2 linked regions of the Xenopus tropicalis genome follow. The main gene of each other region encodes a partner of the protein of the gene in region 2 in a complex. Links are inferred from orthologs where the notes say so. Each region holds a gene or a part of one and is shown on either strand. Other genes may lie near its edges.

Region 1 (5,912 bases), on a different chromosome or scaffold from region 2:
TTTTGATCTCACCATGGTGTTCACTCTCACTTCAACAGTCAGGAGCACACCAAATGAAAAGTCTGAGGTTTAAATAGGGCAAAACTCCTTAAAAATGCTAAGTAACTATGTTGTAATTATGTGCAGCTGATGTGATACACCTGTGTGTGATCGGAGCCATTTTACGTGGGACTAAATGTGGGGGCGTCCTGATTTATTCCTCACCAGAAATTGCATTATTGTAGAATTATATTTTACAGAAGATTTTGAAAAGTCTTTTCTTCAGTTAATTGTTTAGTTATATTACTTAAACATTTCAGTATTGTTAAAATTGAGATTAAATATCCATATGTCTAAGAATGTTACAAAATCACACAGGCTTTCACAGGGTCTCCTAATTTTTTCACATAACTGTAAATCGGCAGAGCAGTTACAGAGATGCAAACACAATTAAATGGCAAAACATGCAAGAATGTTAGATCACTGAAATAATTAACACTGACCTCTACAGGGTCCCCTCCATCGTCCTGTGTGGGAGGGACATAGAAACGTATCTCCATGAGAGAGACCTCAGAGTCATCATTCTGATGAAATTCAAGTGTCACCTCATTCTTCCCTGTGGTACACTGAGAAACATTACTAAGTGGAAGTTCAAAGGCTGGCTGATCTCCTATATCAAACGAAAGCAGCTGTCCTAGATGGGTTAAAAATGTTAAAATGGGGGGTTTTTATTTAAAAGAAGAATTCAAAATTAAGAATAATATAAACAGTAGTATATGTAATGTAGAAATTACCCATTTACCTTCCTTCTGTTATTTGCAAAGTAAACCTGTGCCTTTTCTCCTTATTTGGCTTTAGGTTAATGTTCCGAGGAGAGATTAAGGGTGAAGACAAATGGAGCTACTTAGTAGCAGCCATTTGTCACTGCTACTAAATGCCATAAAATACCCTGCCATAGACAATACTGAGAAATGCCTCTGGTAAAACACATGTAGAGACAGTTAACAGCAAATGATCAGCATTGTCTATTTCTGTAGCAGTTGCAAGTAGCTGCTACTAGTAGCTCCATATGTCTTCACCCGACATATACGCGGTATTTCGGTGTTCCGAAGGTACCTATGAATACGCGTGAGAACACACGAAACGCGTTAGGTTCTGTTCAATAAGGTTTTTGGAATTTTTTACCCGCTGTCCTGGGACTTGATGAGTGCGTGCCGAATGGATTGAATTTCTTTGCTTTCAGGAAGCGGTGAGTGGAGATTTAAATATTCATATATATATGTGTGAATAGAGTGCCCGCATTTTTCATTGGTGTTCAATGTTACCTGCCAGATGTGACTATCTCTACTCTGCAAGTGACAGTGTTTATACTGTTTAGTATACTCAAACTAAAATAAGTAAATCAATTGGGAATAACAAACCTCCTCGAACAAAACACTCTATGTATAATACCTAAATTAATGGGAGGTCTATGCCTTGAGACTAATTACTTACTAAGAGCAGTGCAAAAAGTAAATGGGTACAATGCAAAATATTTCAAGCTCAGCCCATGCGTTTAACAGTCGGCCATGATAGATCTCTGCTAGAGCATGTGACTTACCGCTCCGAAATGCCTTTCTATTGGCAACAATAGATGTCGCCGGTGGAAAGCCTTCTGTATCTCTTCTGTTTTCCTAAGTTTTCACAAAGTTGCCTGCACCAGTGGTTCCTACTGTTGCCGACGGAAAGGCATTTCAAAGTGATTAGTCGCACGGGATAGCAAAGATCTATTGCAGGCAACAGAACCACTCCATAGGACAACAAAGGGGAACTATCAGGAACGGGAAACTGCTTAACTTGGCTCAGTTCTGACAGGCAGATTGTGTTCTAAGCAGAGAGGAGTAGGAGTGGTCCAACCATTCATTGTCCGAAACTTTACATATCAACTTTATTTCTTAGTTATTTATGAGAAAAACATTTGCTGAGCAACGGCACAAAGGCTCAGCAATTTGAAAAATGCCAAATGAGCTGGCATGTGATGCCGGAAGTTGTAGTGAAACAATAACTTTAGGGCATCCACTTGCACATTCCCATAAAACTATTGTAGTCACACTTTATATGTATGCAAGCTAATGAAAATATGGCCATTTCTACATGGACTAGCTTTAGTCATGGTTATAATCCATTATCATTCAGTATAAAATGTATTTATTTATTTTTTGTTTTAAAGCTGGCGCGCACTGAATCCTAACCCACCCCCTTCCCTGCAGGCAAGTGGGTGTGTGCCTCTGCTAGAACTGAACGCAGTCTTTCAGTGGCTACTGAAGAAGCAGACCCCACGTTCCCTCCCCAGTAAAGAAAAAAACCCTGAAAAATGCTTCTAGTCCAAATACTTGCCCGTAGCAAGAATCAACTAACCAATCATTGGCTACAAAACAATACGGACACTCACTGTACTGCGGACAGGGTTAATATAACACAAAACCCATCATTCTACAGCCCTACAAAAAAAATGTACAAAAATTCTGTACATAAACATACAACAGTGTGGCAACCGTGGACCCTTTATTTTGCTTCTTTAAAAAGATCACTAGAAGGATATAAGTATTTGTATCAGGCATAGAATGCATCATGTTATAATTAATCTTTATACTAACCATTGCCTTACCACAAGTGGAACATAAATTAAAAACACAATTGATAGCCGTAAAAAGTGCAGCTTACAAATGGCCTATTAAGTGTCAAAAGACCTGCCTAAATTGTAAATAAATACAACAAAAATAGTTCTCCATGCGTGATCATAGGTTAGCATTTCATTCATGCATGAAAATGAGACACAAGAATTAACACTCACCTCCAAATCTCACACTGCCCCAGTTCCATCCTTTCACACACAAATCCTTCTCTACTAATTCCACACGAAAATGAGATTTGAAATAATCAAACAGCTTGTCATACTCCTAGAAAATTAAGAAAAAAAACACAGTAATTTTAAAAAAAATTACATTCAATAAATGAAACTAAAGTGCAAATAAGACAATGTTATTGTTTAATTCCCTTAAAAGGGTGAGTGTTCAAATATTTTCCATGCAAACTTGTGTAGGTGATCTAAATATCACACTCTGGCTGAATAACCTATTCACCAGATGTATATATAGCCAGGCCAAACATGGAACTCTCACCGGGACCTTCTGTGTATCCTATCCAGATACCCACTGAAAATAGTGGACCAATTTCAGGAGCTGCAATTAAGTTATTATACCAAAACATAGCACTGAATTAACTTTCTTTTGCTTATTAAGACTGGCTCATTTTTGAACGTTTAAAAGCATTGCAACTATAACATATTATGGCCATCTTCAGACATCAGTGATTACAGTCTGCAAGAGCCTGTAGTATCCTATTACTCCTACAGACATGGACACACTTCAAGGGTTGATGGCTGTCATAATAACAGCAGTCCTCAAATAAAAAGTGTTAGGTAACTTAATTGGTGCATGATAGTAATCCCAAGTGTGGCCCTCATAATACATAAATTCTGTAACTTTAAGGGGTACAATTTACTATATTTTTTGTATTCTGCACAGCCACACAAATTAGCATCTGCAAAGAAGCCTACTATTTGAAACCTTTTCCTGCCAAGAACATAGGTACAGGTTTCGGACCCCTTATCTGGACACCCATTATCCAGAACGTTCCGAATTACGGAAAGGCCATTTCCCATAGACTCCATTATAACCAAATATTTCACATTTTTAAAAATGGTTTCCTTTTTCTCGATAATAATAAAACAGTACCTTGTACTTGACCCCAACTAAGATATAATTAATCCTTATTAGAGCCTTAAAAAACAGCTTCTTTTTTTTTTTAATGATAAGACAAAACAGAGGCGCCAAAAAGATAAAATTAGCTAAAAACACTTAAAAACCCAATGGGTAATTCAGAGGAGGTAGTAGTGAACTTACCTCCTCCAGGCAGACACCAACAAAAGTGGTAATTTTCAGTAATAGTTTATTCACAACAATATTGCAACGCGTTTCACAGGCATTTCCTGCTTCATCAGGCAATGTAGAATAGGCGCAAAAAAAACAGTGTCTTTGTATAAACACACCAGGAGCCTCTGTCCACCCCATTTTTCTTCCTTCTACAGAGAGTGACTTCTTATTCCTGAGTGGGGTCAGGATAATCTCCCCACCTACTTATACAGTGGTTGCCTATTGGTAACCCTGGCTTGTGAGTTTTAATTTGTTTACTCTATCATTACTCCTTGTAAAAATATATTACACTATTGGGGCTCTTGGTGTTCCTTTTTGTTTTTCTTTTTTTTTTTTAGTTCTTCATTTTAGCATTCTCTTTTGTTTTCTCCTAAAAATTATTTATTTTACAATGTGACTACTGGAGCAGGCATTCTTACCACCACTAACCATGCTGTTGGATCAGTTATATCATTATTTCATTGATTTGCCTAATTGTATTTGATTTTTGTGATGTTTTGGCATATTTTTGCAGTTTGACAGTACTTTCCAAAAATATATGGTTTTCAAGGGTTTTCATACTGATAGGGGGTCTTACAACACAACAGAAGGATATGTTCACAGAAGGTGAATTGGCATCCAAGAAAATTCATGTGCATTAGTCTAATTTGGGGTCCCCATGCTGTTTAGTACACTCCTGGGGGTATATTTACTAATTCACGAACATCCGAAAAGCGGCCGAATGCGTTTTTCCCATCATGATCGGTAATTTTGCGATTTTTTTTTTTTGTCGCCTTCACGAAAAAAAAATCGCTAAATTTTCGTTTCCAATCCGATTTTTTCCCATTCGGGATTCGTGGATTAATAAATGTGCCCCCTGGTGTCCATGTTTAGAATGTTTTATCCTTTTATGGAAGAAATAGCGCAAGTTAAATGTGTGAAATTGCCCTTAGGTAAACCAACACACCCTGGGCATCAAGCTGCTTAGAAGACCCTAGCTTTCAATTTTAGGAGGTTTAATTGCGGTATATAATGGTATCTTTCTTTTGGTAGGAGGTAACATGCTGTAAAATGGAAGCTCACATGTGAATTTTTAAAATGTTATTAAAACCGCTAACTTTAGCAAAGCTTTGTAGTTTGCCAGTTTGGAGTAGAGAAACATTTAACTATTTTGGATTCAGAGAAAAATTGTTGGTAGACGGAGCACGCCAGGACTACTTTTCAATAAAAAAATATATTCTTTATTCTGGTATCCATTAAAAACATGGTGATACACTACACCTCCTAAGCTGGAGGTGTAGTGTATCACCATGTTTTTAATGGATACCAGAATAAAGAATATATTTTTTTATTGAAAAGTAGTCCTGGCGTGCTCCGTCTACCAACAATTTTTCTCTGCATCGAATTACGCCTGGATCGGGGGCGTCTTCTGGACGTGATAGCACGGGACTCTTTGAATGTGAGTCTGTGGCGGTGAGTGCTCCCCGAATCTTGTTTTCAACTATTTTGGATTCGCCAGAATGTATACTTCCCATAAAAGTATGGTTTTCAGGTGTCAGCACAATTTTTTTGCAGCTTTTATCACATATAAAACATGCTATGTTTTTGTTTTTTGAAGTAGTTGAAATGTAGGTCATAAATAGTATGCACAAGATATGGTTTTAATGTATTTAAATGTCATATACTAAGTTAAACCTTTGCACACTGGGAATCACAATGTTCAGAGGAATGTTTTATCTTGGTACCTAATGATATGTTGGAGATACTGCACAGAGTCAGAGGCAATTTTGTGACCATGAAGCATGCTTTTCATTGACTGTATGAATGTATAAAATACATTATATTAAAAACAGAGGAGTCGGAGTCGTGGAGTTGGAGTCGGAAGTATCAGAAACTGAGGAGTCGGAGAATTTATCTACCGACTCCACAGCCCTGGTTATATGGGTTGCTTTTTATCTCTTTACCATCTGTAATTTTATT
Region 2 (5,912 bases):
ATTTAGGAAAAATAAAGAGGTAAACTTTATTAACTGAAAAATACTTTACTACCTGGCATTAAATGGCAAATAACTCAGAAAATGGTAGAGTTTACTAACCTTTTCTGGCTTCCTCTTCTAGTTCATCCCAGTCCTTTCCACTCTCCTCATCAGTGCCCAGGGATTCTTCACTGCCAACTGTTAAAAGAAATGGTATATTATAGTGCCAACATCCATTCCCTTCCTTATTCATTATTAACTTTAAACTTCCACCCTTCATACCCGACTCCTCTGTCTCATCAGAGTAATCCTCATCGCTGTCCTCCTCCTCTTCTTCATACTCATCCTCAGAAGGATTAAATGTCTCATCTTCCATTTCAGACTCTGATTCGCCTTCCTCTGCACCACTGCCCTGTATAAACAAACACATTATGAATGAAAAAACTAATAAACTAAAAATGTAGTGTTAAACATTTCCAGTTAAAAAAAGCACAATTGGTCATGGTCTGATGCTATAAAATAAATAAGAAATACGTTTATCTCATCAACAACATGATCACCTTACAATAGTAATCATGCAATCAAGCAATAAGAGCACAGACCAAAATTTGTATTCTAGTTATCATTTTAAAGAAAAAAAAATTAAACACAAAACCAGCATGTCTGGTGCTTGTTGAAAAACTCCTCTGGTATGGTCCCAAAATAGGGTTTGTACTATAGCACTGAAACTAGCACAGTACACATAGATGCCTAATACACAAAAGCCATGAATAACCAAAAATATATAAGGAATAATGTAGCCACTATTGTAAATAAGTTGTGCACGCACAAGTTTTGGGTCCAGCACACAAATTGTAGAGTGCACAAATTTTTGTTTATATCAAAACACATAATCCACTCACTTTTCTGCACACACAGTTTTAAATAGAGGGATCACTTAATATAATTAGTGCGGTTAGTAAGGTTAACTTACTGAAACATGCATTACAACAAATAATGTACCTGGCCCTAGGGTGCTAACGAAGGGGGTTTATGGAAGTGGCCCTTTGCTGAGGAGGCTTCTCCCCACCCCACGAAGGGCTGAGAAGCAGATATATGCAGTGTGCCAATATCCTTAAGCTGGCAAAAAAGAATGGTACCTGGGCACCACCATTGCCAAACTAAAGTGTGCCATATTTGCTAACTGAAAAAAAAAAGAAAAAAAAAAAAAAAAAGAGGGAGGCTGCCCTTAGCAAGCAAGGTTAAGCTGGCAACACGAGGTAGAATTTAGCCAAACCCTTCTTCAGTTTTAAATCCTGTTTCTGCAAATAGGTAGCTAAATATAATTCATTATTCCTGTCTCCTGTCCCCAATAAGGCAAAAAAAAAAAAAAAAAAGTATATTCGCAAAATGAACAGATACAGTATGCCCAGAATAAAGATCTGCTTGGGATAAATAAAAACTATTTTACATATGCAAAAATATAAATTACAATTACAAATGCAACCACCAAACTCACCTCTCCTTCTGGCTCTAAAAATGACCAACCACCTTGTTCAAAGAAACCTTCAGGGTCATCTACAATGGTCTTCATAATTTTTGTCCAGTTTAGTGACTGTACTCCTTCAGTATATTTAATGTCACAGGAGCTGTAGAAGAAAGCTTTCAATGAGAACACTGCAAAAAGTAAAGTTACTAACAACTGTTATAAGCACAGTATCTTAAAGGTCAAGTAAAACCTTTCTAAACCCCATGCCCCATTACATTTATTGTTTTTTTTCATTACCTTTAATATAATGTTGGAGACTGGTTCCTATTGGAGATGGCGAGAAGAACACACTCTGGTTTTCTCTTATGCCCCTAGGAGTATTTGCCATTTTCAATAGACCTTACTCCCCTCAGATCTAGCACGTGTGCACTCCCTATGTTTACTTCCTGCCTGTGTGACCAGAAATGACGTCACTACCATGTCTATGTATATCATGACATAAGTTGCTCACCACAGCAATATATCTTTCAAGTAAAGATTATGGCTAGTTGAAAAACTAAAGTGTGTCCCCCAAGCACTAAAGCTCAGCTAGCAAATGTTCTGCTCTATTCTTTTATAGTACACAGCCATAATTTCCCCCATGCCTTTTCTCAACCAAAATACCTGCAAAAATTAAACACATCATTTTATAAAGCAGATGTCGAAGGTGCTTGCATCAATCTAATAAACACAGGAACTGATTTCCAGGTTGATCAAGCAGCAACCCAAGACAGGAGCAGCACATGGAGGCTCTTTGCTGCCTGACCATCCTATTATTGCTTTGCTTTATACTACTGTAAGAGACACCTAGTAATGACATGTATTCAAAAGTCACTTGTTGCAAAGATATTCCAGTATGATAAACATTAAAAGGGATATTTTAATAGAAAATTCTTGTGTCCCTGTATATTTAAGTGTTTTCTAAATAAAATTAAAATGCCCAAATGTCCCCCAGTCCATATACAGTTGTTCCATGCCTTGCATCACCAGCCTTTCACACAAGAGCAGCACCCCAATTATTTATCTGTCCTTTTGCACAGAGAAGTCTCTGCTGTCCACATCCCAATAGACCTGCTGTTGGAGCATAGCGTGTGAACGTAACAGTCAACATAAACCACTACTGGACCATGTGTAATCAGATTAACAGATACATGAAAAATGTGTTAACAGCAGCACTACATCTTTCATATTCCATGAAACACTTACTTAAGCCATTCTTTTATGGGGTCAAGTGAAGCCACAGGGATTGCATTAATCATGGTGACTTTCTTGCCGTACTCTTTGTAAACAATAACCATGTCAAAGTTTTTAAGATGAAATTGCACTCTCTCAAAGTGTACAAGCTCCACCTCATCAAGCGTAACAACAAATGGGGGCTGAGAGAAAAGAAAAATCAGCAGTTAGAAATGGTAACCTATTTATCCAAGTGCTTGGGCTATATCTATATACCACTTAAGCCATACATCAAACAATCTAGAAAAAAAATGATCAATTGACCACAACTATGTTTGAGATGCAATAACTGAAGAAAAAAAATGGATAGTTCTCAAGAATCTAAACACTTAAAATAAGAAAAAAAAATGTTAAAAACCACAGAGGGGGGAAAGGCTGGGAGTTGAATATAACTGGTAAAAAGGCATGAAAATTCAACAATAAAAGAGCAGGACACTCGGAAGAAAAGGATGTGAGTTAGGGTTAGGATTTATTTGTTTTTATTTGGCGCGGCCTATACTTTTACAGCTACAGCAGTTTGTTTTGTCCTCCTTTCAGTTTTTTAAATACTGGGAGGTATTCTTCTTTTAAAAGTTTTCTATTACGACTGTTAAATGTCTCTTAAACTACAACATTCAAAATGACTTACTACAGTATATATAGAAGATTAAACTTACCCACTCTGTGGTGTTTACCAGTGCACTGCTGGTGGGCTGAAGGAGGCAGGTGCTTCTGTATGGAGCTCCATTGAACCTATTATGGAAAAAAATAAAACTCAGCCCAAAACTGCCTGAAAGTTTTAATCTTAGGTTTATGGTTTTCCCTAGTCACTGTACGTATACCAATCCATGAAAAGTTGAAAAGTATGTAATGCTTTGTATTTTCTACGTTTTGTTGCATTAAATCCAGGGTGTAAAACAGTCCATAGTGGAATACAAAGTCTACATAAGTTTATTAAAAAATAAATGGAAGCATCTAAGACTCCATTAGAATTCACTTCCTTTACAAAACCCCTAAATAAGCTTTGAGCAACTAACTGCCTTCAGACATCACAAAATTAATTCAAGTCCAACTATGCATTTAAAAGTGTAAACACATATTTGAAAAAACAGCATCATTAAGACCAAGGAGTATCATGTGTCAGTATCCAGAATAAATTCTGGAAAATAGCAGGGTCTAAAATAAAATTCCTGGAGCACCACTAAATCAATAGCACAACTGTGAGTCAGCCTAGAGAAAGCTCTCTCCAAGGTTTGGTGACCAGGTAAAAGGGTAACTAGTCAAATGCTGATGGTAACCAGCTTTAAACTGTGCAAACAAAAAGCCATCAATTAGAGACCCATATGAAAATCCTTTCAGAGTTTGCCAAAAGGCATGCAAGAAAACCAGCAAGCACGGCAAAAGGTTCTCTGCTCGGATAAGACCAAAATTTAAATTGTAAACTACCAAACCCTACCTGGCTCTGGATAGACGCAGTCAAATAAAAGGAAATTCTAAAGAAAAAGCCTGTTTCAGTCAGCATGAGACCTGAGACTGGGAGGGAGCTTCACCTTTTAGCCAGACTCAGTGAAAGCTATACTGGAGTGATTTAAGACCAACAAGACTAATGGCTTAGAATGTTCCAGTCAAATCCAGACCTTAAACCTATTTGTGACAAAACTCAAACTTTGCTGTTCTCCTTCCAACCTGAACAGCTTAACTATATTTTGCCAAGAATGGCAAAAATTGCAGAATCCAGATCTGTAAAACTAGGATTCACTTACACCACACACACTACAGCTATAACTGCAGCCAAATGCGATTCTACCAAATAATGAATTGAGGTAAATTAGTTAAATCCATTTTAATTCCAAGATAACAGAACAGAAGTGCACATATCAAAAAAAGTATAGATACACATCAGTGGTTCATGGGGAAAAAAAAGTGATAGAGACACTAAAAACCAACTTTTTAAAATATTAATGTATATTAAAGTTACCTATAGTCACACTTTTTGCTGATAGGGCTGCTTTTGTAAGTAATTTCTGTAAAAAGTTCATAAACCTGTTTTGCCAACCTGACTGTCCCTTCTCAGCCTGTCAGTTATAGTTTCTAATGCTAATGGACTCCTGCAGCACAAATATGGCAGCCCCCTCATAGAGGAACATGGGGACCACGCATGTAATGTAAAAGCTTCGGGAAAATACTTTTAAAGCAAAATATAAGTAGCATGCAAAGACAATGTTATCATAGATAAAAAAAAAAAAAAAAAAAAAAAAAAAAAAACTTATTTCTGGTTTCAGTATCTCAATATTTCACAACAGTACAACAAAGAGCCAATGCTTACCCCAGGTCTCTAAAGGGAACCTCAAATTCCAAGTCCTCCTTTGTCAAAGATTCCACCTTTTCAATAAAATTTTTGAAAGCCGTTTTCAGCTTGTGCCTCATCTCTCTTTCCAGCTGTAAAGAAAAAAAAAGGGTTTCATTTTAAGTAGTGGACCCAAATGTCTCAAGGAGACTTCTTTAGCTTATACGGTAGCAGCCATACAAAGACTGACTCATACGTTATGCAGCCCTGATTGGCCTTTTGGCTGAACTGAGCTGCTCCTCTTTCATTTTCAGCAAATTTTCCATTGGGACTGACAATCCTTGAATCACAAGGATCGGGATCACTAAATAGTTGGTTTGATTGTACTGCCCGACCATTTGGCCGGACAGGGAGCAAGTCAAAATCTACCAAACCACTCAACCAAATCTGGACATATACAGACTGACTAACAGATAAAAGGTTTTGTTTTAATTTTTTCTAACTTCTAAACCCTTTAGTTTAAAGGTTTCCTTTAGCTTTCCAACATTTGTTTGGACACATATTACAAGCTGCAATTAGTCACCCTACCATAATTTTAGACAGTAATAAGAATGTGTCAAAAGCAGGGCTTCCTCTGCACTGGAATGCCCTTTTGGGGACAGTTTCACATTCTGGGAACCACCCCTCTAATTTAATAGATGAAACCAGTGTAGAGCATTAGGTAAAAATATAAAAGCAAAAAAGTCCAACTTAAATGACTTAAGCCATATGGAGAGAAATAGAATACACTCACAGGTTCTTAAAAATAATGGCCAGGCTTAATTTAAACTAAGCTGTACAGTTTAAACTCAAAATGGCAATTAGATATATAGTTGAACAATTAAGAAATCACACTCAAGTGATTCTCTGAGCACAGCATCATAAGTA

What was found. The genes of interacting proteins can lie anywhere in the genome.
Region 1: supt16h (region 2) and ssrp1 share a complex: the UniProt entries of both Homo sapiens proteins name them as parts of the FACT complex. The link is inferred for Xenopus tropicalis from reciprocal best matches to the Homo sapiens genes SUPT16H and SSRP1.

The regions. Positions count from the first base shown.
Region 1 is NC_030683.2:56,093,733-56,099,644, forward strand, and holds part of ssrp1 (FACT complex subunit SSRP1), read right to left. Parts: intron 2,919-5,912; coding exon 2,813-2,918; intron 674-2,812; coding exon 483-673; intron 1-482. UniProt on the Homo sapiens protein: Component of the FACT complex, a general chromatin factor that acts to reorganize nucleosomes. The FACT complex is involved in multiple processes that require DNA as a template such as mRNA elongation, DNA replication and DNA repair.
Region 2 is NC_030677.2:142,079,999-142,085,910, reverse strand, and holds part of supt16h (FACT complex subunit SPT16), read right to left. Parts: intron 5,138-5,912; coding exon 5,025-5,137; intron 3,452-5,024; coding exon 3,376-3,451; intron 2,863-3,375; coding exon 2,693-2,862; intron 1,608-2,692; coding exon 1,478-1,607; intron 392-1,477; coding exon 262-391; intron 178-261; coding exon 100-177; intron 1-99. UniProt on the Homo sapiens protein: Component of the FACT complex, a general chromatin factor that acts to reorganize nucleosomes. The FACT complex is involved in multiple processes that require DNA as a template such as mRNA elongation, DNA replication and DNA repair.